Notamacropus eugenii: one gene and its partners. The protein of the gene in region 4 interacts with the protein of the main gene of each other region in a biochemical or structural test. Links are inferred from orthologs where the notes say so. Each region holds a gene or a part of one and is shown on either strand. Other genes may lie near its edges. The genes, in order: PPARG, TGS1, RXRA and NCOA6.

Region 1 (7,560 bases), on a different chromosome or scaffold from region 4:
TTTACTGTGCTTGTGGTTAAAAACTAGAAAACAAAGGGCTGAAGAGGAATATTTGATAAAAATCTGGTATCAGAGCAACAGAAGTAGGGTTTTTCCTATATCATGTAGCAAAGAAAAGAAAAAGCCATGCTGGTCCCCAGCTGAGTCTTAAAATTTAATATACCCATCTAGTTTTAAAGGTATCGTCAGCATACTGAATATCATATGTCATATGATTTAAATAAAGGAGGAAGAAAATCATTTGTGTAAAGTATATGTTATGACAAAAGAAAAATGTGTAGTTCTATTTTTGCATTTTCCTTTTGACTGATATATTCTCGATTGAATTTAATAAACACTTATTAAGCACCTACTGTTGACTAAGCTCTGGGAAAAGAAAGATGGCAGGGTATGTTGCCCTCAAAGAGTTTATAATATAGTGAAAGAGGCTGGGCCACCATAAGATATACAAATAACCACGATTTAAGTGAGAAAATGAGTATAATTGCCACCACAGAATTCCTGACTCTCAGGTTGGATGGGACATCAGAGGCCATCTAACCCTACCTGTATCCCCTCTACAACAGGACAAGCATCCACCTTTGCCTGAAGACCTTTGGGGGAAGGGGACATAATCCATTCTACCCAAACTGTCAGGAACTTTTGTTCTTACATCAAATCTCAAACTCCAATTCTCCAAAAACTTTTCTTAATTACCCTTTCAGTTCCAATTCTATGATTTAGTAATTACAAATATTTAATTTCTCATGTAAAATTGTCCATGACTGCATAATACTTAAAGCTGAAGTTATTCACAAAAATGGAAAACTAAGACATTTTATTGTAACAATTAGAAAAATCCTGAAATTTGTCTATTACTATTTACTCGAAAATGTATAATCGATGTACAATCACAAAAAGGCTATCAGGGCTTATTTTTTGGGGGGGAGGCTTATGATGATCAATGATACCTGTCCATCATTTTATTACAGTATTTAATTTCCTAAGTAATTTCCCCCGAAATTTTTATGGAACATCCATGTCCAATTCCTAAAGAGAACAAGAAGGGGGAGTTAGCTCTACGTTACTACATAGCAATGATGAGTTTCCTATGCACAAGAGGAGGGTTACAGGGCACCTGAAGTCCACTGTGGTTAGGCACTTAGTTTGACAGGGTCCGTTTTATGAATAAGTAATTCATTGATCTCTCCATAGAGAGAAACTTTCTTTTCACAACTTGAAAAAAAATAAAACAAAAACCAAAACCACACCTTTGAAGTGAAAAGTAGCATGGCTGATAAAATGATACATTTTAATTAAAATATGTCCAAAGTCCATTTCCCCGTCCAAATATTTTCAACAGCTAATTCAAGCAAATTACCAGAAGAAATTACACCTATGCATTTTGGCCTTAAGCTCATTAGGCAAAGTTACTTTAAAAGCCCTTAATGCTTTTAGGTCAGAATGATAAATATTCCAAGTCCCCAATAGTATTACAGGTCAGTTATTACCAGAATATCACTACTGGCTTTCACTCGGACTTTATGGGCTAGTGGTCTCACAAGGATCCCTCCAGGGCTTCAGCCGGCTCCGCTGTCAGTCACCACTGCAAATGCCAAACGTTCCGCAAACTTTCTCACCAAAGCACTTCAAGAAAATGTCGCTGATGCGAGCTGACTCACCCAAGTTGTAGAAGTCAGCGGCGATGAAGGTGCCGACGGAGCCCTCCTACCCCTTCGGATCAAAGTGGAGCAGCTGCTCCTCCTCTTCACCTGACCCCATATAAAAGCCGTGGATCGGTGACTCCCAGTTTCCGGCGCTCTTTCCCTGGCCCCTCCCCAAAAGCCCAGGCACAAAGTACCACCTTTCTCTTCACCCTCACACCCTCCTTCCACCCCCAACCCCAAGGAACCTGTCATCTCTGTTTACCTGACCCACCTCGTTTCCCCCGCAAGAGTTCAGAGGAGCATAGCCTGCTGCTGTCCTGCGCCGTGCCCACATGGCATCGAGGGACTCAGCTTGGCAGCACGGGGCACACTGGGGAACTCCTAGTACCAGCGCGCTCATCCTGCTGCTCGGAAGCAGGCTGGCATCCCTGGGCCCCTCCTGCCCCGTGCATGCTCCCAGAACTTCGGGAGGGCTGGGGGCTGTCATCACCTGTTACTTCCCTGCACTACAACCCCAGGGCAGACCTGGCGGACAGAAGGACAGTCAGACAGAGAGACAGATGCTCTGTTCCCTTGCCTAGGTCGGCAAGGCCGGGGGGGAGCCACTTGCATGGCGTCCGCCCTTCACACAGGGCACACAGTCTCCCAGGAAACTTCCCTCCCTATTCTCGGGGGACAGTGACCCCCTTCCCAACCCTCCGTATTCCAGGGCACTCGGACTCAGCTCCCTCTGACCCCAGGTCGCTTAAGTTCTACGACTCCTTTCCGGGGCCACTTAGCCCTGGAGCCAAGCCTCGGTGCCCTCTCTCTTCCGTGACATAAGACCCCAGAGTCTCTTGTCCCGGGGCAGGGAACACGCACCCTGCGCGGCTTCCTTTCGGCTCAGAGCCCCCTCGGCCCGGGCCACAGGAGCTGCGAGTCTCCTTTAGTGACTCGGGCACACACAGACCCGCGTGCCCTTAAACTCGGGCCACTGGGCACGCCTGTGAATCTTTATCCCAAGACATCTAGGTCCGCGACCCTCGTAGTCCGGGACACGGCGGCCGAGGAGGGAGCCCTGATCCCGGGACACCCGGCGACACGAGTGCTCCCGGCTACGGGACCCCAGACGCGTGGGGGCTCTTGGCCCCAGGCACCCAGCCCCGGGCTGTTTTGGACAGCCCTCTCCCCGGTCCCCGCGGCCGCGGCCCAGCCCAGCGGGGGCGCTCTGACCTGCGGCCGGTGGCGTCCCTGGCTCCCGGTGTCCGCCCCAGCTGAGCCGAGCCAGACCGGGCAGCTCCGGTGACGGTGACGGCGGCTGCGGCTCCGGAGTGTCAGCGCGCTCTTCCTGCGCGATCGCCAAGTGCGGCCGGGGCCGGGGCCGGGGCGGGGGGCGGAGGCTGGGGGCAGGGTCCTGGACTGGGAGGGGGCAAGGAGAGAGGAGGAGGGGAGGAGGAGGAGGAGGAGGAGGAGGAGGTGGGAGGAGGAGGAGGAGGAGGGGGAGGAGGAGGAGGAGGAGGAGGAGGAGGAGGAGGAGGAGAGGAGGAGGAGGAGGAGGAGGAGGAGGAGGAGGAGGAGGAGGAGGAGGAGGAGGAGGAGGAGGAGGAGGAGGAGGAGGAGGAGGAGGAGGAGGAGGAGGAGGAAGGGGGCGGGAGCGGGGGCGGCGCGCAGGGACCTGCGCTCCCCGCGCGCTCGCTGCTGGCTGGCTGGCTCGCTGGCTCCAGGACGGAGCCGCTTCCGAACCAGCACCAGCCCGCGGCCGGCCCCCCGCAGCGCTCGGGTCGGCTCGGCCCTCCGAGCGGGGGACAGCGCTGCCTCCCCGGAGTGAGCCCACCCCGCCCGCTACGGGGAAGTAACTTTGGGGTCGGGATGGCAGAGGCGGGCAAGAACGCGGCTCTCCTCTGGAAGCCTGGAGGTCAGCCGGGACAGCCTGCGAGGGTCCGGAGAGTGGAGAGCAGAGCAGGGCGCAGTTGGAGAGCCGAGGCAGGGACTTGGCATCTGGAAGAGAAAAGCGGGGCCGAAGCACTTCGACCACTTAAGCCTTAAACTGAGTCATTTCTGTTATCCTGAGCGAGAATGGAAGCGCCTTGGGGACAGAGTTGGGCTGGAAGCAACCTGGGCACAGAGAGACCAGAAGCTGTTTGAGGGGGCACCTCGACGAGAGCTGTGGTGGCCAAACTTCTTGCTTCCAGCACTGTAATTTTCTTTGTATCGAGACCCTTGGAGGGGAAAGTTGGGAGACTTCCGAAAGCCCACGTGCAGTCATGCAAATGCAGAGGTTTGCTAGGGTTTGTTGCATACAATTTAAGGAAGTCTAGAGCTTGTGGATGCAATTGTAAATTCCAAAAGATTCCCAGCTCCCTGAGCTGAATTCCTTCAGGGCATACTATTTTGGAACTGCGGGACTGGCAGCAACTTGGCCACTTTGCCTCAACTTACTCAGCGCACGTTTAGATGGAAAGTTTCTTGAGGCCAGCAAAGCAGTCATAGGCCCGAAACTCCTAGGGGACAAACTTAAACCAGAGACCGACGTAGAATTCCACCGGCCCTTTCTCAAGGCCAGACAGAATGGAAACTGTTTGAGGACAGACTTAGCCCGGAAACTCCTCACTGAGGGATGGAAAGTGCCTCATGGAGGGCAACAGCCTTAGTCTGCAAAGATTTTCTAGGCCAGAAAGGGTTTTCCAGCATTTGCCCTAGAAAAAGCACCTGGAACGCTAGGGACTGGGTTGGAAGCCCAGCTAAGTCACTTGACCCTTGTAAGACCTTCGTGAGTCATTTCCCCTTATTCCCTCAGTTTCCCTCAGCATTACACTTTCCTAACTGTAAAGTGGGTTGGACTGGGCCTGGCCATCTCCAAGGTTTCTTTCCCTCTCTAAAGCCTTCCACAATGGATTTTGAAGGTGGGTTAGCCCGGTAGTGAAATAAAGGGGCAAGTGACTAGGCTTAGACAATCATTCTTTGAAGTAGGGAGGGCCCCAGCTCCACCTCTGAGACCCCAAACGACCCTCTTCTTCCTTTGCTGCAGTAATCCAATTCATTTACAGGTCATGGCATCACCTCCCTGATATGGGCCCAGAACAAAGGGCAGACAGCCCCAAATGCAACTTTTACTAGTCAAAAGATTATCTACTTTGTCACCGAGAGGGATGTATCAGTCTTCTAAGTCCTCTCTCCCATCCCATCCCACCCAATCCAAGCACTGCTAGTAAACATATATAGGAACAAAAGACAGAAAATGAGATCCATTAAGTGAGATGCTCACAACTTCCTAGCATCACAGTATTGTGGAAAGAGCTCTGCTCTGGAGACAAAGGTCCTAGATTCAAATTCTACCTCATGCTTGTTATGATCTTAACATACAGGTTAAGTCACTCAACATCCTGGAGCCTCAGTTTCCTCATCTGTAAAATGGGGGAGGGAGGCTTGGACTTGAGAGTTTCTGAGGTCCTTTCCAGTTCTAAATCAGTGATCCTTATTTCTCTCCATTCCTACTAAATATTGTTTCATATGAGCTGTAGATGATCTTCTATAAAAATATCCTCTCTATCACATATTCTGAAAGGCAGTATGGACAGATGAAAAGAACACCAGATTTGTAGTCAGAAATCCTGGGCTCAGTCCTGGTTCTGGCATGTATCAGACATATGACCCCTGGTGGTCTCCCCAGTATCAGTGTCACTTCATTGTCCTGGGGCCTCTCTCCACCTCCCTCAATTCCCCATCTCCCCACCAACTGGAAGTATATTTAAAGCTGCTGAGACCAAGCAAAGTTTGTGGTACTCATCTCAAACATGGAATCTTCTAGTTTATGACCCTGTAGGAACAATTTTTTCCCCTTCATTTCAAAAAGCATATTCCAAGTATATGAAGAATAACCAGTTCTCCAGTTCTACCACAAGGGACCTAACTGAAAAGCCTTCTGATGACCAAAAGGTATAAAACTTCTTTTCATCAATGCTAATGAAGAACACACCTTGCTGCTAACCAGGAGTGTACCTTATTTCAGTTTTTTGGGCAATCTTTTTTTTCTCCTGAATCAAAATCTCAAATGAGAAAATTGATATTAGTGATCCAACCCCAAATGAACCAAGTTCTAATTACAGAATGCTCATAACTAAAGTCACTCAGGAGTGTAAAGTAGACTCAACATTTTCCCCGCTCAAAAATATTCTTCTAGTATGTGTGGGCTACTTACTGCCTTCCTCTTACAACAATGAAGCAGAATGGTATCAGTTCATTGGATCATGGATTGAGAGCTAGAAGGGACCCTAGAAGTCGTCTAGTCTAATGGCTTCATTTTATACATATACATGTTGAAGTCCAGTTAAGTGACTAGCTCAAGGTTACCCAAACAGTGAGTGGCAGAGTCAGGATTCCAGCTCTGGTCCTGATTACTTGAGATGAGCTGTTGGGTTTTATGGTTGTTTGCTTTCCCCCATCTTCTAAACTCCTCCTCTCCTGTCTGCCTCCCTCTCGCCTTCCTTCTTCTCTTCAGAGGAAGGTAAATTTGGATGGTCAAAAGGTGTCCAGTTGTCTTGGGTTTTACTGGCTTCTTTCCTGTCTGTCCTGTCCTCTCCTAAAACCTTAAACCTACTGCACTCTGAAACTGGGACTCCAATGGACCCCTGCCTAAGGTCTCCTCTGGATCCTCCTAGCTTTAGATTATCAATAGTAACTGTTGCTGTTTCCCACCCAGCCTGAAGTCTTTCTTTTTCTTTATCTGATTAAAGGGGCCATGCCCTGGCTATTTCTTAAACAGGCCTATTCAATGAATGGGTGTTGCCTCACCCTAGGTGAGTACCTGCAAAGACCTTGACCTAAAGGGCCCAAGGTCTCCCAGTGCACCCTGGGTCATCTCCAATCATCCTAAGGAATATCAGATCACTGGATTCGGATGGCCCTGGAGGAGAAGTGAGGCTGGTGACCTTGCACAGCCCTCCCTCACTCAAGCCAAAGTCAAGCGCAAGTCATGTCATCATTTCTCTGATGGCATGGTCTTCTTCGGCAGTGAAGGATGAACACAATGCCATGTGACTAATGGACTAACACCTCCTTCTCCACACTGCTATTCCCACTGGTTCTTTGAGTTGGATACAAGATGTCCCAATAGTATTGGACTAAGCCTAAACAACACTAAGACTTTTGGAGCATCTTGTATTTTAGGCTGTAGTTCTTTTGAATCCAAATCAAAAACAAACACACACATTTCAAATAAACATATGCAGTTCAAATATGTGTGTGTGTGTGTGTGTGTGTGTGTGTGTGACACACGTTCATAGACATAATGACTTGTCTGGAGTCATATAGCTAGTAAGATTTAAACTCAGGAAGATGAGTCTTCCTGTTTGCAAGGCCAGTGCTCTATCCACTGTGCCATCTAGATGCATATGGATGTATGTCTATATGTGTGCATATATACATACCTATAGACAGAGTTCATATATATGTATATATATATATATATACATATATATACACATAATTCATATATATGCTTTCCTTCTCACTAAGGAAATTTCTTCCCTTCTGTTTATAATTGTGCAATAAAAATACGTGCCACATGGGGAGGAAATGGAGGTCTAGTAATGTGGATTGACCGTAATTGAATTGATTTCCATAGTATTCTGAACATACTCAAATTGGCTCCCCTGGGAAAAGACTCCAGACATTTTAATATACCAATGATTTTTTAAAAAATGCTGTGTTTAAAAAAATTCAGTAGAATCTTTCTTCAAATAAGGTGACTCAGTTCAGGGTCCAAAAAAAGAGTACATTAACCATTTAACACTTATCCTAGTATTTTGTTACTTTGCTCTAGAAGGATAAAGAAAATGAATGTTCTAATCAGTCTTCTCACTTATGGTAACTATAGATTCCTGTACAGATGTGCTTAATCTTTCTCTTTCTCTTTGTATTTTTATAGTTTTATGGA
Region 2 (7,260 bases), on a different chromosome or scaffold from region 4:
ATATTTTGTATTCACTACTCTGCTTACTCATAGCTCTTCCCCCAGTAAAATGTAAGCTCCTTAAAGGCAAGGACTGTTTCATTTTTCCCTTTGTATTTCCAGTGCCTAGCACATAGTATATGTTTAATAAATATGTACTGATTAGTATTTGTAATACTGTTTAGTATTATAAACTGCAGAGTTAGAACTAGAAAGGCCAACCCTCTAGTCCAATCCTCTGCTTCTACAGATCAGAAAAAATGAGGATCAGAGAGAGATTGTGACTTTCCCAACCTTACACAGGTAGAAAGTGAGGGAGGCAAGATGTGTACTCAAGGCCTCTAATTACAAATCCAGTGCTCTTTCCATTGCACATTGTTTACTGTGTCTCCATTAAATTGGGAAAATAAGTCATAAAACATAAAAACTGAAAAATTAGAAATTTAAATGATAGATTATCTAATCCTATTAATCTGACTTTAAAACCTTAAATTGAACCATATTGAGTTGGTATTTCTCTTCACTGAGGAGGGTGACATAGCAGCTGGAATGCTAGAATCAAGAATACAAGTGTTCAAATCCTGCCTAAGACCCTTACCTTTGTGACTCTGGGTCAAGTAACCACTCAGCCTCAATGTCCTCATCTACACAATGGGGCTAATAATAGTATCTATCTCACAAGGATGTTATGAGGATCAAAATGGATTGTACATGTAAAAGTACTCTGTGGATCTCAAAGCACTATATAAGTAAATGCTAGTTATTATCATTACTTCTATTCCTCAGTAAACAAGGCTACCACATTTCTGCACATTATCTTCTTACAATGAAAAAGACTCAGTTCTCTCCACCACTAATATGGAATCACAAGTGTTAGTGAGGTTACATGTGTAAAGACATTTAAGTCTTAAGTCTGTAAGATTTTTCAGATATTTCCAATTTGATATCAATTTCTGGAGATACAAATGTACGATTTTGATATTAACCACACCCATAACCAAAATAAGTTGACTTGCCAGAAATCAGTCAAGGAAGGTCTTGATCCAAGCTTCAGTTTCTTAGAAATGAATAATCTAGAAAAGATAACATGATAATGAAAGAAATATTATAGTATATTATTATTATGCTATATATAATATAGTATAGTATAATACAATGTGATCTATGTAATATAAAATATATAATTGATATATGATATGATATGATAGTACAACAGGCATTTCTAATCTACTTGTTTTCTCCTGTGTAGACAGCTGGGGTACTCTTCCAAGGGATTATGAATTTCATTAAGGAGCTTATATACTGTGTCTTGTCTTAACTCAATTGTTACAAAGGCATCCTAGATATTCCAGAAGATGCTCTAAGAATTCTTAATAAAACTGTATCAACTGACTTCAGGGTACAAATTCCTTAATATTGTACATACCTGATGCAGAATGCAGTGCTGTGTATATGTATATGTATAGATTACATTAATGGAAAAAAAAAACCAAATAAGATCAGGAATAGAGAAAGTCAAAGAATCAAGACCTGCCTAGATACTCCAGTTAAAATTGCTCTCAACACTTAAATGTCCATTGATAGAACATATGTGAGAGAACAATTGGGAGAAGGAAAGCCTTTCAAGTAGCAGGAGAAAGGAGGACAAAAGAAGAATCTGAGAAATGGATGAGAGAAATATTAAGTCTGGAGAGGGAATCTAGTACTAAAGTTCAATTTTCAATAAAAAAACATCACAAAGTAGTCTCAAACTCTTTTTTATAGCTTAAAAAGTATTTGGATTTCAAAGAGTAGAAATAAAAATCTTCATGTATGTAAAAAATTTTTCTAAGGCCAGAAATGTTAGAAAACCTATTTTCCCCTTTAAAAATTAATACTCTACTTGCTACTCATTAGTAGTGCCTTTCAAACTTTTGGTAGGTAGAACTTAGATGGTGCAATTTGTTTTGTGGCCAAGTCATATCAAAGGAAATATTCCTATACCCTTAATATCCCAAGCTAGAAAGAACTAAACCTACGTACCCCAAAAGGCAGGAAACTCAAGTAGCATCAAGTAAGCAACCCCATACAGGTGGAAGGTTCTGCTTTCTCTTTCATATCTAAAATTGCCTTATTACTGTTTTCTTTAATATCTAAAATTATACAGATAGAAGATTAGTGACCTGCTACCTATAATGGCACTATGAAGTGGTTCCACATCACAAACTGGTATTTTATCTGTGGAAATGGCATTAAAGCAGCATGAACATCTACTTTGCTGCTGCAACCTTAAGGACTGAGACTTTTTTATCTGACTTACAGCTGGAATCCTTTTAGAATGCAAGCATTTTCAGAGCAGGGACTGTTTTACTTTCCAATCTGTATCCCCACGGTGCTTTGTACATTCTTGTTATTATTCATTTATGTCTGACTTGTTACACCCATTTGGGGTTTTCTTGGTATAGATACTGGAGTGATTTGCCATTTTCTTTTCCAACTCATTTTGCAGATGAGGAAACTGAGGCAAGCGGGGTTAACTGACTCGTGCAGGGTCATACAAATAGTGGCTGAAATAAGATTTGAACTCTGAAAGATGAGTCTTCCTGACTCTAGACTCAGGACTCTATCCACTCAGCCATCTAACTATCCCACTTTATACAAAGTAAGAACTCAATAAGTGTTTGATTACTTTTAAGAGTTCTTCCAGCTTTAACACTACAAACCTAGGAATCCTTCTTAAGTACTGTTCTAATTAACCTACAACTCTACATTCTATCGCCTTAGTTGTCTTTTACTCTTCAGCTTTTACATCCAGCTCCCCAGGAGTCCAATGTCAATTTCACAGATGTTGCTACATGGCCTCGTCACCCAACACTCCATGCTCCTGAGGCATGATTATGTATGACATCACCAAAAGGCTGGTGAAGCACCCGGAGAGAAGAGAAAATGAACAGGTTGTGCCACATTATGAACAAGGAATGGGAGATGTCCCTAAAGAACAAGAAAATTCATCTTTCAGCTCAGGGCATTCTCTCTGGCCTCATGCCTGGAACTTCTCTGTGCCGCCTCCTGACCTTCCTGATTCCTTTAAATACCAACTAACATTTCACCACCTAAAGAAGTCTTCCCCCAACCTTCTTAATTCCAGTTTATTCCCTCCGTTAGACTGGGAGGAAAAGTACAAACAAATACATACAAAGGAAGCTATATATAGCTTCCTATATATAGCTTTTTTTTGGCCTGTTTGTATCCTCAATACTCAACACAGAGCCTGGCACATAGTAGGCGCTTAATTTTTTTAAAAAATAAGTGCTTTGATTTCAGAGTTGTAATTTAAGACTAGTATGCATATTATGTTGCATAATAGTCAAGAAAGACAAAGCAAAAGTGTTTAATTACGGTAAGCGCAGGATGAGAAGTACCAGTCTTTATAGCCTCTTTTTGAATTATTTAGCACATGGCAGGCGCTTAACATCGGATGAGAAGTGACCCAGACTGGCCAAGGACCCACGTGCCCCGACCACGGGGGACTGGAAGCAGAGGTCCGCCGATACGCACCCACTACGCTCAGGCACCCGCCTGGATAGGAGGTGCTCCCGTCCTCCACCGCCCCACATCCCGCGAGACAGGAAACCCGCGGCCTCCCGCCCCTCCCCCGTGGCCTCGAGACAGGAAGCGCCCCTCCCCCCGCCTCCGGGATAAACAACGCGGCCCGAGGTGGAGGGGGAAGGGAAGAGGACGACACCAAACCCAGAGAGGAATCCGCCCTCCCCCCTGTCCACACCTCCCAAAGAAGAAATAAAGAAATGGAGGAAGACGCGGCTGGTCTTCCCCTCTTACACCTCCTTCATCCGATCCCCACCTCAGGCAGTCCGGCCGTGCACGCCGCAGAGCTAAGCCGGCACTTTTCTCCAGCCCTCTAACTAGGAACACGAGTTGCGTCTCCAACCTGGACTGCGTTCGGTGGAACACCTTCCCCTCCTCTTCCCGCTCCCGCGTCCTCGGGCCGGAGAGGCACTTCCGGTCGGCGGGGTGGGCGCGCGCGCTGCCGATGTTCGCTCCCGCTGTGGCCGCGATCCCCGGGGCTGCGTCCTCCCCGCGCCCCGGTGTGTGCGCGAGCTCTCTGCCGAGCGACCCTCGGGAGGCCTGACCCGGCCCCCCTCCGCACACGCCCCGCGAGCGAGGGCCCGACCCTCCCCCACCCCGCGAGGGAGGGCCTGACTCGGGTCTCCCCAGCCCAGCCCAGCCCGGCGGGGGCGGCCTCGGCACGAGCGGCGAGGGAAGCTCGGAGCCGGGAAGGGTGCTCGCGGCTGAGCGCCGCGGCGAGATGCTGTGCGGGAAGTGGAGCCTCGTGGCGGAAATGGTCCTGTACATCGAAGGCCTGGAGGAAGATCTAAAAGTCGTCTGCCTCTGTTCTAGAGCGTTTGTGGAGTAAGTAGCGACGTCCTCCCGTCCCCGCAGCGTAGCTGATGCCCTCGGGGTCCTGCCGCCCCCGCCGGGCCAGGAGGCAGGAAGACTCAAGCCCCTTTTGCCTCAGTTTCCTGCTCTGTAAAACGAGCTGGAGTCTCTGCCGAGAAAACCCCCAGTAGCGTGGTGAGGGGTCAGACGTAACTGCCCTGCGACCCTCTTCTTCCCTTCCTTTCTAAACCTCTTGACCCGCCCCCTACTCTCTCCTTTGGTAAGCTACATGCCCCTCCTCATAGGCCCCCCCCACCCTCATATCTCCGTAATTATCCACTTTTTTCTTCCCTAGTGCCTTTAAACAGGAACAAGTATCATCCTGTGGAGGAAGAAAGCTTCCCTAGATTGTTCAGCCCCTCCACCGATCTGTGTCTGGTCACCCTCTGTCAGCCTAACTCCTAGGAAAAGCTGCTGGGCTTGCTTCTTCTGGATCCCTCCGACTTCCCATCCCAGCCAGCCTCTCCCACTCACCCATGGCCTCTTTTCTCTAAACTACTTTCCAGTGATCTCTGAATTGCCAAATATAATATTATTTTCTCAGTCCTTGTTCTTGACCGCTTTGCAGCATTTGTGACACCATCTTCTCTGGGGTTTTGCCACACTGCTCTTTCCCAGTGCTTCTCCCTATCTGAACTTGCCTCGTTCTTTGCTAGAAAATCATCTGTACCTCAAGGCTGTGTTGGCTCTTCTCTTTCTTGGCCATCTCATCAACTCCTGTAGGGTTAATTATTCTCCCAGCTGGTCTCTTACCCCCAGATCTATATCTCTGGCCTGAGCTCCACTTAGGTGTGCATCACCAGCTGCCTAGTAGACACTTAAAACGGGATGTAGTGGACGTATTTCAAAACAGAACTTATCTTTCCCCCTAAAACCCTTTCCTTTTCTGTACTTCTCTGTTTGTATCACTATTCTTCCAGGCTCCCAGGTAGCATAAGCTCGTTGTTACCCTTGACACTTGACTTTGTTTCATGAAATAGATATAATCAGTTGTCACATCTTAACTTTTCTGCCTCCACACATCTCAGTTCTGTTCCCTCCTCACTACTCACACAGCCACCACTTTTAAGTTCAGGCTGTCTTCATCTCTCTCCTGGACTTTTAAAGGCCTCTTATTTTTTTCTCTGTTCATGATTTTCCTTAAACAGCCATCTGATCGTGTCACTCCTGTATTCAATCAGGAGTCATTGGTTCCCTACTGACTTCAGGATAAAATTAAAATTCCATTTTAGTTTCTAAATCTCTTCACAATTTGGCCTCATTCTAATCTTCCAGCTATATTACATTATTCGCCTTCTCACACTCTTCCAGCTCAGCCACATGAGGCACTCCACGTTTAAGCTCTGTGACTAGAACATGTATTACTTCAACAGCTAGTTGATGGTGCACTGATCCTGGAGTCAGGAAGACGAGAGTTCAAATCTCATCTCAAACATCTACTAACTGTATGACCCTGGGCAAGTCTGCCTCAGTTTCCATAACTGTAAAATAGGGATAGTAATAGCACCAACCTCCCAGGGTTGTTGTAAAGGTCAAATAAAATAATATTTGTAAGGTGCTTAGCTCAGTGCTTGGCATGTAAGTAGATATGGTATAAATGCTAGCTGTTTTTCCCTCCTTACCTCTATTTGTAGAATATTTCACTTCTTTCAAGACTTGATTCAAACAACCCTTTTGATTTCTACTCTCTTCCTTCATATCCTGTATTTTACCAGGCAGCTAGCTAGTACAGTGGTGCAGTTAATAGAACTGGGAACTTAATGTCAGGGAGACAGCTTTGTGATCCTCTGTATGTCACTTAACCTCTCACAGTCTCAGTTTCTCCATCTGTAATATGGGGGTGAGGGTGGTATTAATTTCACAGGGTAGTTGTGAGGATTAAATGAGATAACAAAGTTCACTGTAAACCTTTAAGTGCCATATAAATGCTAGCTATTTAGCTACTTTGTATTTCTTTTGAATTCTTTATTCAGCGGTATATGTTATCTCTTGAAAGCAAGTACCTATATTTTTTTGTCTTTGTATCCCAAAAACAGTGCTGGTCACTGGTAGGTACTTAATAAATTTGCTTGTTGATTAATTGCATTAGGAGTAAAATAAGTGGGTTTAAATTTTGTCTTTCTCACTTGAACAGATTTACGGCAAGTCTGTACCTCAGTTCCTTATTTGTACAATATGGAGAGTTGCACTGGACTTCAGTTCCAAATCTTAATCCAGCTTAAGGAGAAAAGAAACAAATTCCCAGAAGTCATATACAGAGGATTTAATTTTCTCTCAGATCACTACCTGTGATTTAGTAACTAAGTCTTAATGAGTTCCTTGAGGCTCATTGTGACTAAATGACTTGCTTGGAGTTACAGAGCTAGTAATAAGTATCAGAGAAAGGCTTTGAACATAAGCCTTCCTGATTGCATTCTGTCCACTTGGCAATACTGCATCTGTATCTCATCATACATCCAAATAAATGGCTAATCCTTTCAACAAATTCATGGCAACAAATGTTTATTAAATACCTACCATGTATGCACCTGGTACTGTCTTAGTCCCTGCCCTCAGAGTCCTTATATTCTACTGGGAAAGTTAACTATTTTCTAAATTTAGCAATCTTCATAGAGCCAAACAAATGGAGAAAATTACCAGTTTTGGAAAAGGTGTTTTTCTCTTCTCACTCACTGAATGCAGATTTCACCACATAGAATTTTATCAATTTCATTTTCTGAGCTAACTTTATCACTGTCAATAGATTCTGCTTCAGTTGATGTTTTGTCTATTGTAAACAATGCTGACTTTGCTCGAAACTTTGTAGAACTCTAGGCATTGTCTTTAGAGTCTGTGACAACATCT
Region 3 (7,530 bases), about 68 Mb from region 4:
AGGGGAATGGAATTGAAAGAAATAACAACGGACTGACTGATGACTTTCCCCATCTAGGCTAAGAGGCTCTCCCCAGGAAATCAGACCATGGAGCAGTGTCCCAGGCCTCGGGCTTTGTTACATCTGACAAAATTTCCCTCTTCCCTACTCTCCCTAGCTGTGGGACTTTGAAACATGCCCTTTCCAAGTAAAACACACCTACCCCTACCTTTTTATACCTCATTCCCTGGTAAACCCTTATCCGCTGACAGAGCCAAAGTATTCATGCATTTTCATTGAGGTTGGCAATCAAGAACTGCAAACAGCTGCCTTAAGAGTGTTTGAGTTTTCATTTACCTATATGTAGATATAGAAACGATGCTGCTCATTGCAAAGTATCTGTCTTGGCGCTTGGAAAGAACTGATTTGGGCACATCCTGTAACATAGCTGTTGATTGTAAGACCTTCAGTTGATGGTGGTAGGTGGAGCTAAGCCAGGTGTGAAGAACCTGCAGCCTCAAGGCCACATGTGGCTCTCTAGGTTCTCAAGGGTAGCCCTTTGACTAAATCCAAGTTGGAGGGCCACTCTTGAGGACGTAGAGGGCCACATGTGGTCTTGAGGCCGCAGGTTCCCAGCCCCTGAGTAGGCCCATTGATCTGGAGTTGCTACCTCCCTCTTAATGTGCTATCCTGACAATCTCTGCTTACTTCCCTCACCAATTCAATCATCTGGGTGATTCTTTTGAACTTTGTTCATATGTGCCACCACAATCCCCCTTCACATGATCTGCCTTTTGCCATCCTGACAATAAATAATAAGAAAGAAGCAACCACCTTCCAACCTGGGGTCTACCCCCTAACCTGATGCCTACATGGAGCTTATGGCTCTCCAGGTTTACCCACCAAATGCCCCAGGGTACCATTGCAAGGAAAATGCATGATCTCCCATAAAATAACCTTTCCTCACACCCCAGACAGGACAGAACTGGTATTGGAATTGGATTCTATAAGATCTGAGAGAAGCCTGATTGCAGCTGGTACTGAATACTCCCTGGCCAAGTGCAGTGAACCACTGTAAAACACTGATAGTGGAGGTAAGAGCCAACACCTATGTTGGGCCAGAGTGCCAAGTCTGGGGTCAGGAAGCCCCAAGTTCAAATCCAACTTTAGACACTTAGGAGCTGTGTGACCTTGGACAAGTCACTTAATCTTAAACTTAAGTCTACCTCAGTTTCCTCAACTATAAAACAGGGATAATAACAGCACCTATTTCCCAGGGTTCTTTTCAGGAACAAATGAGATAATATTTATAAAGAGATTAGCACAGTGCCTGTAAGTGCTATATAAATGCTATATCATCATCATCATCATTGCTTTTTAAAATTATCCATCTATCCACTATTCAAGTACAATTTCACCAGCAGCATTGATAAGCCTGAGATATCTAATAAAGGACTTCCAATGAGCCTGGGGAATGCCTTACATTGAATCTTGAGACCACTTGGACTTGGATGTCAATTTCAACTTGGATTGTGAGGGTTGACTCATCCTGTTTTCTTTTGGCACAATCCTGGCTTCCTCTTCCTCAGATAAAAGGCAAAAGGAGGTTTAGCAGCATTTGGTGACATCAAACTGTGGTTACCCAAGCACATTCTGATGAGTTTAGTGTGAATAAATTAAAAACAGACGGATGGACTCTGCAATCCAGACATGGGTTTTAAAAATCAAGGGGAAATGTGTTTGGAGCAAAATACATTAGGTCTGGGGACCAAGTTCTCCTGCAAATTTCCCTTCCAAGTCCCTCCAGGCCCCAAGCCTCATGTTAGGATTTGGTAGTCTTGAGGAGGGAGAAACAAAGCTAGAGAAAGCACGGACCTGAATGTCTTGCTGGTTCTGCGGAGCAATACTCCAAATTGGATGTGTCATGTTTGAAGATATTGCTGAAGAGCTAGCTCTCTTAGGCCAATTTTGGTCCTTCTGTACCTAGTCATACCTTGTGCGTCTTGGAATGCTTTTAATCCTAAGGGACTCTGACTTCTGTAGCCTGGACCACAGGAGCAGTCTTTCCTGGCTCTGCTACCACCTGGAGGTTGTTTAGATACTATTTCATTGCCTTGTTTTACCAGTTAGAAAAATGGGTTCACCAATGGACTATGGTACTGCCTAATGCGAAGCAAATATTTACCTACAAATACAAAACTTTAGGGGAAAAGTATAAAAGTGCAAAGCTCCTAGAGCCTACCAAAAAATTGTTTGTAAATTACAGTCCCATCTAGGGAGTATCATCCTGGCCCTGAATATGCTCTGCCCCACTGTTCTTCTTCCCTAAATTTCCCCCTTCCTGTTCCTATTCCCATTGCCCTAAGTTTTCATTTAGGAATCCTAATAATAACATAGGATCATAGATTTAGATCCAGAAGGAAACTCAGAGGTCATGGAATTCAACCCTCTCATTTTACAGAAGATCAAATTAAGTCCCAAGGACAGTCAAATGACTTCCCCAAAGATACAGTTACAAGGGGCTGGTCTGGGATTTGAACCCAGTTCTTCTGACTCTTGTGCCATTGCTATTTTATCTAGGTATCATTCATAGGAGACAGATGCATGGAAAACCTTCAGGTTTGTAGTCCATGTGCATCCTGCTTTGCAGCACTGATGGAGTTGTCCATTTGAAAGCCAGTAAAAGCAGAAAAACCCAAAACTTACCCAGTCCAAAGCCAAGACAAAAGCTATCCATATTTTCCTTCAGGAGCACCTGGTCCAGGTAGGGGCGAACAGAAGGCATGAGAAGGTCCCTTGACTTGGAGTTGGGTGAAGGGGAGGGGGAAGAGAGGAGGAAAGGAAAGAGGAGGGATTATTTGGGTGGGGGGGAGGGGGAAATGATCTTCAGAAAGTCAGGAGAAAGGCAAGGGAACAAAATCATTCCACTGATTTGTTTAAGTCTCCAAAGATGTTGTTTTAACAAGGAGAGAGGAGAGGGAAAGGGGGAAAAAATGAAGACATGACAGAGAGATTTAGCTGGGATTTTGTTCCGAAATTCCCAATTCCCAGATCACATGTTGGGCACTCTCTCCTCCCCTGAACTGAAGCCCAGTCCAGTCCAACCAGACTCCTGTTCCAAAAGGAGACAGGGGAGGTAGGAGGAGAGAAATTTTAAAGGAAAATTACAGCAATTGAGTTAGAAAGCCCAAGTTTCTCCTTAAATATCATTCATGAGACACTACCATAGTAACTTAAATAAACAGACATAAAATAGGTATATAAAAAGTCCACTGAAATGAATTTTAAATGAGTAATTCTCAGGCATTGGAAAGATGGGAACACACCCTCTCTGTACTTGGGCTAAAACCAGGAGTCACAACCTAGTGGAAAACCATCTGTAAGTAGTACCAGTTAAACCAGGACATCTCTGGACTCTTCTTAGAAAATGGGGACTCTTGATTTTGCTGGGGGAGAGGAACATGGGCTGCCATTTTGTCTAAATTAGTGTGTATAATCTGGAGTCTTCAACAACCTTCCTTCCAAGGACTTTTTTTTTTTTTCAGAGATCATCTCCCTGTAGAACCCCATTGAGGGGGAAATCCAACGCCTCCATTTGACAAATGATCAAAATGAAGAAAAGCGAGACTAATAGTTGCTCCTCAGGTCATGCAGCAAGCCAGAGGCAATACTGAAACCTCAATCCAGATCTCCCAGATCTGTTAGTGCAGCACATCTATGTGCCCGGAAAAGGATGAAATCTTCCCTGCTGCTCCTCACTCTCCCTATGCTTGTGAACAATGCAAGGTTAGAGCTCAAAGGGAATTTAGAATACAGAACATAGAATGTCACAGCTCAGAGGGACTTTAGAAGATACATTGTCAGAGCTGGAAGAGTCCTTAGAGACCTACTTCAACATCTTCACTTTACAGATGAGGGAACTGAGGTTCAGAGTAGTGAATTCCCTAAAATCATAGTGATTTAGGGACCAAGCTAGAGCTAAGACCTGATTCCAAGTACATTGAATATCCTAGTTTGAAGAAATCTGAAAAGAAGGATGAAACCAGAGAGGAAAGAATGAAGAATCATTTTGGATAAGGGGGAGAATATAATTCCCCTCAATATCAAACACATATATGGCCAAATAAATGGTAGAATAACAGAAAACCATTTGCTATCTGGGGCAGTTAGGTGGCCCAGTGGATAGAATGCCAAGCCTGGAGTCAGGAAGACTCATCTTTCTGAGTTCAAATCTGATCTCAGACATTTACTAGCTGTGTGACCCTTAGCAAGTCACTTAATCCTGTTTGCCTTAGTTTCCTCATCTGTAAAATGAGCTGCAGAAGAAAATGGCAAATGACTCAAGTACTTCTGCCAAGAAGTACTACACATGGGGTCATGAAGAGTTGGACATGACTGAAAAATGACTGAACAGCAGCAACACTTTATTATCTGGCTTGGGCTGAAGCTGTATGGCGTATGTTGGTGGGGTTTAGAGTGGGGTATAAAAGGAGCATCTTCCATATGTATGCATGTATTTGTATTTATGCACAGATGTGTATGTGTGTACATGTGTGTATATGTCTACAAATGCATGTGTGTATATATGTATATGTATGTGTGTGTGTGCATTTTCTTTTGTCTTGGAAGGAATGGGTGAAATTTTTAATTGTGCTGCTGCCAACTCCAAGAAGAACTTTACTTGGTGGAAATTCTTCCAGGCCAATAATGAGCCAATTCTCTTGGGGCCTGCTTGAGAAATGGAGTTCCCTGCCATTTGGCTCCAAGGGGAACCCTGTAAGTAGCCAATATGGAAACCGACTGTATTGCATGAAAGAGACAGCCATTTTATGAGTCTAGCAACCAAATTAGTCCAATTAAGTAGCAATGCTTGAGGAGAGGGAGGGCTACCTCATTCACACCCCACCCTTCTCCTCTGGCATAGAAAGCTGTGGAAAACACAGTAACCTAAGGATGTGTAGCAAGAGAGAGGAGAGACATGTCCAAGAGGAGCAGAGAAAAGATAAATGAGGCAGCTGCTTCTCCTGTTGCTTCTCCAAATCCTAAGATTCCTTCAAAGTTCTGTTCCTCCAGGAAGCAAAGAGACAGAGTTGATGTGGTTGGGAAAAAGACTAGCCTAGCCTCAGAATGAAAAAATCTGGGTTTCATACCCTGGCTTTGGTACTTACTAGTTGTGGCGAGCTACTTTGCCTCTATTCTGTGCCTTTACTTCTTCATCTGTAAAATGGTAAGAGTAAGAATGCTCCCGCTATTGACCTTTTTGGGTTGTTGTGAGGACAGTGTTTTATAAACCTTAGAGTGCTGAAGGAGCATGAATTGTTATTCATTCTATTTAAATATTAAGTATTAATAATAATATGAATGGTAATTCATATTATTCAAGGGATGAATGCTCAAAGAGTACACAGATTTCACAGGGTCCATAAACTTGGGTGGGGAAAAATACATCTTTATTTTCAATGAACTCCAAAATTTGGAATTTTCTTGAATTATAAACTTTAAAAAAAATATTCTGAGAAGGGATGCATAGGTTTCACCAGAATGCCAGAAGAGGTCATAACACACAAAGGGTTAAGAATCTGTGGAGTAGAGGATTCCTTTTAGGTACAAATCCCCTGATCATCTGATCTCAGGGGACAATAGCAGCAGTCCTGGCTCACTCAGGGGAGCCACTATTTGTCAGTTCAAATGGTAAGTACTTCGTGAAGCCTCCCTTAATCTCCATATCCCCCTCCCTCGACACCAGGAGTACTCTTCAAAAACACAGTTGGAAAGAAGGAAATAAGTATTTATTAAGGGATATCACTGTGTTAAGTGCTTTATAAATATCATCTCATTTGATCCTTACAACAACTTTGATATTATCCTCATTTTGTAGTTGAGGAAATTGAGGTTAACAGATGTAAGTGACTTATTCAGGATCACACTGTCAGTAAGTATCTAAGGCCAGATTTGAACTCAGGTTTTCCTGACTCCAGGCCTATCATGCTATGTGTGGTGCTACCTAGCTACCTCTAGCTCTGACCCAAAAGTTGTTCACTCAAATCTGACTCTTCATGACCCCATTTGGGGTTTTCTTGGCAAACACACTGGAGTGGCTTTCCATTTCCTTCTCCAGCTCATTTTTACAGATGAGGAAACTGAGGCAAACAGGGTTAAGTGACTCACCCAGGGTCACATAGCTAGTAAGTATCTGAGGCTGGATTTGAACTCATGAAGATGAGTCTTCCTAATTCCAAATCTGATGCTCTATCCACTGCGCCACCTAGCTGCCCTGGCTTCCTATTACCTCTTGGATAAAACAAATTCCTCAGGATTAAAAACACATCACAATCTGACTCCAGTTTACCTTTCCAGGATTATTACACATTATTCTCTTTGACTCTGTGGTCTGACACAATTGGTCACATGCAGCATTCTCTATGTCTTCGTGCCTTTGTTTCTTCCTCATTGCCATCTCTCCTTCAAAGCTCTCTTCTTCAGGAGACCACTACTGAATCTACCAGTCACAGAAATTACTTGGTATGTATTTTGTATTTATTTATATATGTCCATGTTGCTTCCCCTGAAGGAACATAAGCTGCTGGAGGGGGAGGCATTATTTCTTTTTTGTCTGCTTCCTCTGGTACATGGTAAGCACTTGACTCATTGACCAATTTGATCATTTTACAACAAAGATTTGAAATACTGAAGCCCACAGATAGGGATGAGTCACCTGAAGCCCCCACTCCCAAGACTAGGCACTGTGAAGCCCTTTTCCTAGAAGGATATATCAACAGGTTAACATGTACTTCAGAGAGACAAGGGATTTAGAGAGTATGGGTACAAATGAATCAATGAGTGCTGTAAGAAAAAATTTCACATGCAATTTCTGTGAGGTTTCCTGGTTTGTCCTCTAGTACTTATTATCTTTATTTATATATGTATATCAGACTGTTTCACACCCCAGTTATTTGTTTCTCACTCTTATCTCTCATAATAGACTAGGAGTTCCTTCAGGGTAAGGACCATATCTTATCCATCTTTATATATCCTTCAGTACCTAGTATCATCCCTCCCTAGGTCTTTATCAATGGGTGAACCATAGAAATGGAAAATGTTAGAGCTTGAAGAGAATTAGATCCTCTAGACTAACACCTTCATTTTATCACAGGGGGAAACTGAGTCCCATAAAGTGGTCCAAAGGCTTCAAGTATGTGGTGAAGTTAGGGTGGGAAGGAAGACTCTTCAGTCAAGCTTGGGAAACTCTGCCTGGGTCTCACCATTCCAGCTTAAGCCTAGTGGGAGATGGTGCCCAGCAATCATGAGCCAGCAGAGGCTGGAGATGGTGTCTTGGGAGTCTGAGACTGGTGCATAGCTAAAGCTGGGCACTAATCAGAAGAAATTAGGAAGAGATATTAGGAGGTAAGAGGTCTCAGCTTTCAGAGGCTTTCTTTATCCTAGCTCTTCTGCCAGATGATTGTAGGAAGGGAATCTAAGGTTCAAGGAAAATGGTGATTTTTCTGAGATATGGCAACATTGCAAGCCTTTGGAGGGAGTCGGGGAAGGAGT
Region 4 (7,111 bases):
GAAAATTGTTACTGATCAGGAAAAATTTAATGGAAGAGGTGACAAATGAGTTGAGAACTAAAGGACTACTGATGATTCAACAGATGAGGATAATGAGGACTATCTGTGTTTGAGTAATATAGTTTGTTTTAAGCATTGTGAGCAAAGGGAAAGAAAAAGAAACAAGGCTTAAAATGTAGAAAGCCCCAAACTGTAGAATACTTAGAACTCCTGGCAAAGAAATCTGAACTTTACTTGATAGGTAATAAAGAACCATTGAAGTTTTTTGAGCAGAAGAGCAACCTGATCTATACATAAGAAATCATACCCTGGCAGTAATATGAAGGATGGATTTGAGAAGGTAGAAAGGTCCCTAAAATAGAACTAGTGAATAGAAATGAGGACCTGTACTATGGTGGTATCATTGGAAAGAATGAGGAGAGAATGGATGAATGAGATGTTGCAGAGGAACTGGCAAAATACTTGGTACCTACTTGGATATGAGATATGAGGAAAAGTAAAGACTAACAACCCCAAAGTTTTGAATATAAGAGGCACAGTAAATGGTGGTGAATCAGACAAAAATAGGGGAGGCAGGAGGAGAGCCCAAAGAAAAGAAATAAACCTGGTTTTAACATGTTAGATTGAGGTGCCAAAAGGACATCTAGGTGAAGCTTTCTTGTAGGTCACTGGAAATGCAGATCTAGAGGTCAGAATTGGAGAGAATTTTGGAGTTGTCTGCATAGAGGAAGTAGTTGAAGTCGTGGAAATGAATGTTCATTTGTCAATGGAAAAATCACGTGTGTTCGCCCTTCGTCATTATGGGATTGAGACCAAGTTGAGGACATACTGAAGGGCACATCAAAAGGTAAGAAAATCTCTGGAGTATGGTCTCTGAAGCCAATAGAGAAGAGTATTGAATAGAAGAGGCCGGTCAACAGTGTCAAAAGACATTGACAAGTCAAGGGGTTTGGAAAGCACTGGATTTGGTGATTGTAATGGTGATCCTAGAGAGGAAAGTTTCAGTAGATAGAAGGGAACCAAAAAGAGGGTGTGTAGGCATCTGGGAGAGACAATTTTTTTCAAGACGTTTAGCAGCATAAGGGAAAAAGACAGGATAGTAGCTAAATAAAAGTGGATGTGTCAAAATGAACACATCTGTAAACTGATGAGAAGGTTCCAGTGGAGCAGAGACAGAAGAGATGAGTGACTCAGAGGGGTTGACTTCTTTAAGTAAGGTCTTCAAAGGAAGAAATGAGATTAGGTAAAAAGAATTAGCCTTAGTCAGAATACTTTACTTCAGCGACTGGAGGGAAGGAGAGAGATTATGAGGAAATTGAAAGGGCTGAGAAAGTTCTTTTTAGTGAAAGAATAAAAGGGCAAGAAAAGAAAAAGTGATTCTGGGGAAAGGGAGTTAATAAAATTTCAGCAGAGATCATTACTCCAATCCTCCAAGTTTGCAAATGAGGAAACTGAGACCTAGATGAAACAAACTGACATCCTAAATCACATAAGTAGTGGCCGAGCTTGAACTAGCACCTACAGTCCAAGGTCTTTCCAACACCATTCATGTTGCTTCACACAACAGATAAATTTTCCTAAGGCACAGAGTTTAAGAATCAGGTCATTCATCCATTCAAAACCTCTCAATTGCTCCTTATTAATTATTACACCAATAACTTCTCTCTCTGGCTTTTAAAACCCTTCACAACCCGGCCCCAATCTATCTCTCCAACCTTGTTATACATTACTCCCCTTCCCAATCTACAAACTGAATATCTGTTCTTCCTCCATGGCACCTCCACTGGCCACCTGTGTCTCTGTACCGGCCATCCCCCCTGCCTGGAAGACAAGCCTCCCTTCCCTCAAGAAGCAGCGATCAAGACCTGCTCCTCAACCTTTCCCGACGGCCCGATCCTTCCCTCCCCGGTTTCTTTGTATTTCTTCTGTATGTCCCTACACCAGGTGTCCCAAAAGTCTCTGTGCAGCTGTAAGCCTCGGAGGCTCGATTTCAAGCGCTCTGAGGACAGCGCCCCGCACGGGGCTCCAGACAACCAGAGTCCGCGTTTAAAGCGCACGAAGCTCAGCGGGCTCGTGGTGGGCTGCCCACACTGGCGTTAGTCCCGACTCCCAACCACGGGCTCCACATCGCTGGGTCTACACCGCTTCCTCAGCCCCCACGGGTGACCTCCCTGTGTGACCCCTATTCGGGTCCTCCCCTGGAGAGTGCCCTGGGTCATTACCCCCACACAATGCCACGGCTGTTTCGTACACACAACACGGCCAGGCCCCGGCCATCCCGAGGCTTCCTTCCTTATCCCCACCTTCAGGCACCGTGAAGCCCCTGGGAGGGAGAAGCTTGTTCCTTTGCGACTCCCGCTGTCAAAGTCCCCAGCCCGGGCTCTGCCTCAGTGGCCTTCCCGTGTCCTTCCTGCCCTCCCCCCGGGGCACACTCGCGCACACACACCCGGCCCGGTAACCCGGGCACACAATGAGGTGGGCCTGCCCTGCACGCCCGCCCGGGCCGGGGCTTGGACACCTGCCTCCCCTGGCCCCGCTGGGGGGTTGGGAGGCGGAGCTCGGGCTCGGGCACCGCGGCGAGGCCACCCCGCACCGCCGCAGGCCGGGCCCCGGCCCCCCCCCCCCCAGCCCCGGCTCCCCGCAGGCCGGGGCCAGCTCCCCAACATGGCGGCGGCGGCGGGGACACGAGCGAGCCCGGTGGCTGGCGGCGGGCGGGCGGCGGCTCCCGGCCGGGCCGGGTCTGTCATCCGCCCCGCGCGGCGGCGCCATTTTCCCGGGACCAGGGACAAGGCTGGTCCCATTCGCGTCCCGTCCAGTCCCACCCCACCCCCCCGGACCCGGCCCGAGCTCCAGCCTCTGCCTCACCTGCGGCCCTGCCAGGGGCCTCCGACGGCGGCCCACTCTGGCCCGTGGCCTGCGAGCGCCGCTCTGTCCGTCCCCGCGGCCCGGAGAGCCGGACAGCGGGACACCGGGACTCCCGGACCCGGCAGCGGCCTCAGACCCGGCGGGGAGGGGGAGGGGAGGGGACCGGGGCCCGGGAGGGGGAGGGGAGGGGGAGAGGGAGGGGGAGGAGCGGGGCGGGGCCGGGCAGGCGGGGGCCTCGCGCACGTGACCGGAGCGAACGTCCCCGGGAGCTCGGGGCGGCCGCACGCAGGCGCGCCCGGGCCCGCCCCACCCCACCGCGCCCTGGTCCCTCCTGGATGAACCTCGGATTTTTTCCTCCCCGATCTTCGGCAGTTTTTCTTTCCTGAGCCCCAAGTTACTCCTTGGCAGCGCTGAACCCTTGATCTCCAGGTTCTCCGGACTGCGCATTCCCCGACTCCCCACAGTCCGGAGCCCACAGTAACCCCCATCTTTTCGCAATCCCCAGCTGCGTGGACTGCGCCCCATCTGGTTTGCCCTCTTAAGGAAAGGGTAGCCAGGAATCGGTCTCGTTCTTCTGCCTGCTGGTTGGTTCTTCCGAACCTGGACCCTCTGCCCCTGGCCCCGAGGAGGCAGGGACAGAACCGGCCCAAAGTCTCGCTCCTAGGCTTTGCGTCCTCAGCTCTGGCTCTTACATTCTGAATGACTGGCCCAAGTGCCTTCACCTCTAGGAGACTGGGTGGTCTCCATTCCCTCCCAGTGTTCACTTTGGGGGACTAGTGGGATATCTAAGTAGGGTCGCGGGATCCCAGGACTTGAGAGTGGCCCGGTGAGAAGCTAGAGACAGAACTGAAATTAGGGAGAGAGAGGTCATCTCGGTGACTTGGGGCGGCTGGGGGCCCAGCAGGAACGGCCCCTGCTGACACCTGAGAGCAGGGCTGTGCATCTCCTGGAAGGGAGTCAGGAGGCCTAGGTGGACAAGAGCGCACAAGTGGAAGGAACTCAGATGGCTTAACCACGAGAAGAAAGGACTTAGGGGAAGCATGGTCAGTGTCTTCAGGCATGTGAAGAGCTGTCACGTGGAAGAGGTAGCTTTGTCCTTTTGGCTGCAGAGAAAAGTAGGAGCAATGGCGGGTGAAAGTTACAGGGAAGGAGATTTAGGGGTCAATAAAATCTTGTTAACATGGAGAGCTCCACCTTTCAGGGTTGTTGAAGAAGGAATTTCCGTTCAGTTCTCAGTCAGACTGGATGACCTTTGGGGTTCCTTTCAACTCTTGGATTCTGTGCTTTGAGTACCATCTCTGTCAAATCAAGGTTGAAGACCTGGGCATGTGCTCTCCTTTCTCTGGGCCTAAATTTCCATCTCTGTACAACTAGAGGGTCAAAGTTTCCAGCATTAATACTCAATGAGCTATAAGGAAAAAAGTGCTGGATGGCATGCCCTACTCCACCCTATTTCCAGGAACAGCCTAAGAGACTAAGGAAAATTAAAGAGAGGTTGAGAAGATTCATTTTTCCTCCCTAGGGTCCTTCTTGGTGAACTTCATGGGACTGGCATTGTTTATGGACTGAGTTAGGGGTGACATTGCCCAGAGGTAGAGAGATGGTCTAAATGGCCTCCAAGGTTGCAGACAGCCTAAAGTGCTCCTATTAGAAGTCTAAGTGAGGAGACTTCGCTCTCCCAAAAATTCAGCCATCTGTCCCAACTTTGACCTGGAGACCAGCTAACAGACCAAGCCAGAGAAGAGATTTCTTAAGCAACTTTCTCTTTAATTCCTCTTGGGAAGTGGAAGCCCCTGAGCTGTTACCCACCCTCCCTCCCTCCCACCCTTATGTGGCCCCTTCTCCCTGCACCTCTCCCTCAGACCCTTACTACTTCTGGGACAGAGAGAAGGAGAAAGAGGGCCCCTTGCTTCTGGATGGTCAGTTAAAAAAAAAGTCATTTAAGAAATGAGACAGGGGAGAGGGATGGGGAAAGATGTCAAGGGTTGGTGGGAAGGAAGGATGATTCGGGCCACCTGGGTGGGGTTTTTTTGGGGAGTTTTTGTTTTGTTTTTAAGCAAGCATTTCCCTAAGCCTCTCAGGAGTAGGAAGTATTGGAAGGAGGCAGAACCATTCTTCTAGTCTTCTTGCCTGAGGTCTGTCAGGCCACCACACCCATCAACTGTGGAATTTGTCAATTATTCTGGAATTGGGTTTGATATAAATCTCCTCTGGTCCCCAGGCCCTGGGCAGAGCTCGAAGGCACCAACTGGGAACCTCTGGTCTTCAGACCCACTCTGTGCCTGTCCCTCCTCCCTCCCTCCCTTGCCCAGGGGGAGGCAGGGCTCCAAGGGGCTCTTGGAACATGCAAAGGGGTATTTGTGCTGCAGCGCCTGCCCCTGCCCCACCCACCCAGCCCTACAAGATGGTGGCACCCGCTCCATCAGGGCTTCGAGGATCCTTCACCCCAATGATGAAATTGTTGGTTCTCCGACCTCCATGGACCCAGGACAGAACGTCTACCTTCTCAACCCGATGGCCCCTAGCCTCCAGGAACTCAACCTCTTCCTCTGTGAATTCACCTGAAAGAAATCACATGCAACAAAATCAATTCAAACATTTATTAAGTATCTCCTGTGTACAGAACTCTCTTCTGGGTGTTCAGTAAACTCATATAAACCCACAAGCACTGGCCAAGATGATTTATTTTTCAGGACTAGACAAGCTTGTCTGTCCAGGGCAAGATGTAGACAAACAATTTCAGCACCCCTAGAAAAATCTCCATTACTTCCCAAATTTCTCTCCAGTCCTCCCATTTATCCCTTAATAGGGACAAATCCCAACATTCTCCAGAGATCAGATTGATGGAATAAATTCCCATGGGAAAATTATAAACTGTCCGAGTAGGAAGGGATTGTAGAGATCATCTACTCTAATCCTCACATTTTACACGGGAAACAATCCCGGACAGCTTAACTGTGGGACTTGCCCAGTGCCACACAACTAGTTTATTATGGAGTTATCAGTCACTAGCATTAGTCCTACTTCTCCATTTTACAGATCAATCAATCAAGCACTTACTGAGGTCTTTTGGAAATATTTCTTTGACAGTTATATGAAGGATAGACCAGAAAAGAGATGGGCTTGAGGCTGGGAGACCAACTACAATGCTATAGAATTAGTCCAGGCCAACGGGAAAATAAGGATGAAGGGAATGAGACCTTGGGAGGTGAAGGGATTGGCCTAAAGTCACATGACTACTGTCATATATAAATTAGTATTAGAAGGGGAGTCTAGTCCAACCTTCCTTATTTTAAAGGTAGGGAACCTAAGGCCCAGAAAGGAGGAAGTGGCTAAATAATTATTATCTTAGATCTCAAAGCACTTCCCAAGAGCAGTCTTTGGGTAGGTGGGAGGCAAGAGGGCACTGGGGGGTCAGAAGGGAGGTTGAGAGAGAAGGGCCACCACTGAGGTGGGAAAAGGGCAGAGAAAAGGGGTAGCTGTTGGTGTCTGGGACAAACTTTACAAACAGCAATTCTGCCAACTGCCTGCCTTCATTTGGCCAGCCCTGGCTTAAAGCTCTTCACAGAAGCTGGCCAGGAGGGCCCTCTAGACCTAAATTGGTTTATGGGGTATTCCCCCCACCCCTTCCCAGCCCTTGAGGGCTCTAAACCCTGAGAAGAGAGGAAATGCCTACCTCAGGAAAGAAAGACCACCCATAGAGAACTGGAGGGAGAAGACTCAAGGCTTTTAACTGATTTGTAGATGAACTTGACCTTTAATCTTTTATATTCACAAATAACATCAATTTAAAAGACAATACTGTCTTTTTAGCCTTTTCAAGTTTACAAAGCCCTTTCCTCCCCGTAACAACCTGGAGGAAGGTACAGCAAGTGGTTCAGTCGTTTTCAGTCTTGTCCAGCCCTTTCATAGACCCCATTTGGGGTTCTCTTGGCAAAGATACTGGGGTAGTTTGCCATTTCCTTGTTCAGCTCATTTTGCAGATGAGGAAATTGAGGCAAATAGGGTTAAAGTGAATTGCTCAGGGTCATAAAGCTAGTAAGTGTCTGAGGCCAGGTTTGAATTCAGGAAGATGAGTCTTCCTGACTCCAGGTCTAGCACTGCATCACCTAGCATGTTGACTTTGAAAGCCATATGTGAACACTATATGTGCTCGATTGCATTTTTATTTATTTTGTCAAACATTTCCCAATGACATTGTGATCTGATTTTGGAGTACTCAGAAGTATTGAGGGCTACATGTGAC

Evidence for each region.
Region 1: the proteins of NCOA6 (region 4) and PPARG interact in a test that uses a peptide from one of them, tested with the Homo sapiens proteins (2 studies listed by BioGRID). The link is inferred for Notamacropus eugenii from reciprocal best matches to the Homo sapiens genes NCOA6 and PPARG.
Region 2: the proteins of NCOA6 (region 4) and TGS1 form a complex in vitro, tested with the Homo sapiens proteins (2 studies listed by BioGRID). The link is inferred for Notamacropus eugenii from reciprocal best matches to the Homo sapiens genes NCOA6 and TGS1.
Region 3: the proteins of NCOA6 (region 4) and RXRA form a complex in vitro, tested with the Homo sapiens proteins (5 studies listed by BioGRID). The link is inferred for Notamacropus eugenii from reciprocal best matches to the Homo sapiens genes NCOA6 and RXRA.

What each region holds. Positions count from the first base shown.
Region 1 is NC_092874.1:432,712,053-432,719,612, forward strand, and holds the start of PPARG (peroxisome proliferator-activated receptor gamma), read right to left. Parts: upstream 3,003-7,560; 5' UTR 2,859-3,002; intron 1,783-2,858; exon of another isoform or gene 1,662-1,782; intron 1,602-1,661; exon of another isoform or gene 1,491-1,601; intron 1-1,490. UniProt on the Homo sapiens protein: Nuclear receptor that binds peroxisome proliferators such as hypolipidemic drugs and fatty acids.
Region 2 is NC_092875.1:273,888,121-273,895,380, forward strand, and holds the start of TGS1 (trimethylguanosine synthase), read left to right. Parts: upstream 1-4,259; 5' UTR 4,260-4,285; coding exon 4,286-4,389; intron 4,390-7,260. UniProt on the Homo sapiens protein: Catalyzes the 2 serial methylation steps for the conversion of the 7-monomethylguanosine (m(7)G) caps of snRNAs and snoRNAs to a 2,2,7-trimethylguanosine (m(2,2,7)G) cap structure.
Region 3 is NC_092872.1:486,966,638-486,974,167, reverse strand, and holds the start of RXRA (retinoic acid receptor RXR-alpha), read right to left. Parts: upstream 3,011-7,530; 5' UTR 2,765-3,010; coding exon 2,686-2,764; intron 1-2,685. UniProt on the Homo sapiens protein: Receptor for retinoic acid that acts as a transcription factor.
Region 4 is NC_092872.1:418,876,947-418,884,057, forward strand, and holds the start of NCOA6 (nuclear receptor coactivator 6), read right to left. Parts: upstream 3,002-7,111; 5' UTR 2,866-3,001; intron 1-2,865. Other genes in the region: GGT7 (glutathione hydrolase 7), read right to left, coding at 5,263-5,426. UniProt on the Homo sapiens protein: Nuclear receptor coactivator that directly binds nuclear receptors and stimulates the transcriptional activities in a hormone-dependent fashion. Coactivates expression in an agonist- and AF2-dependent manner.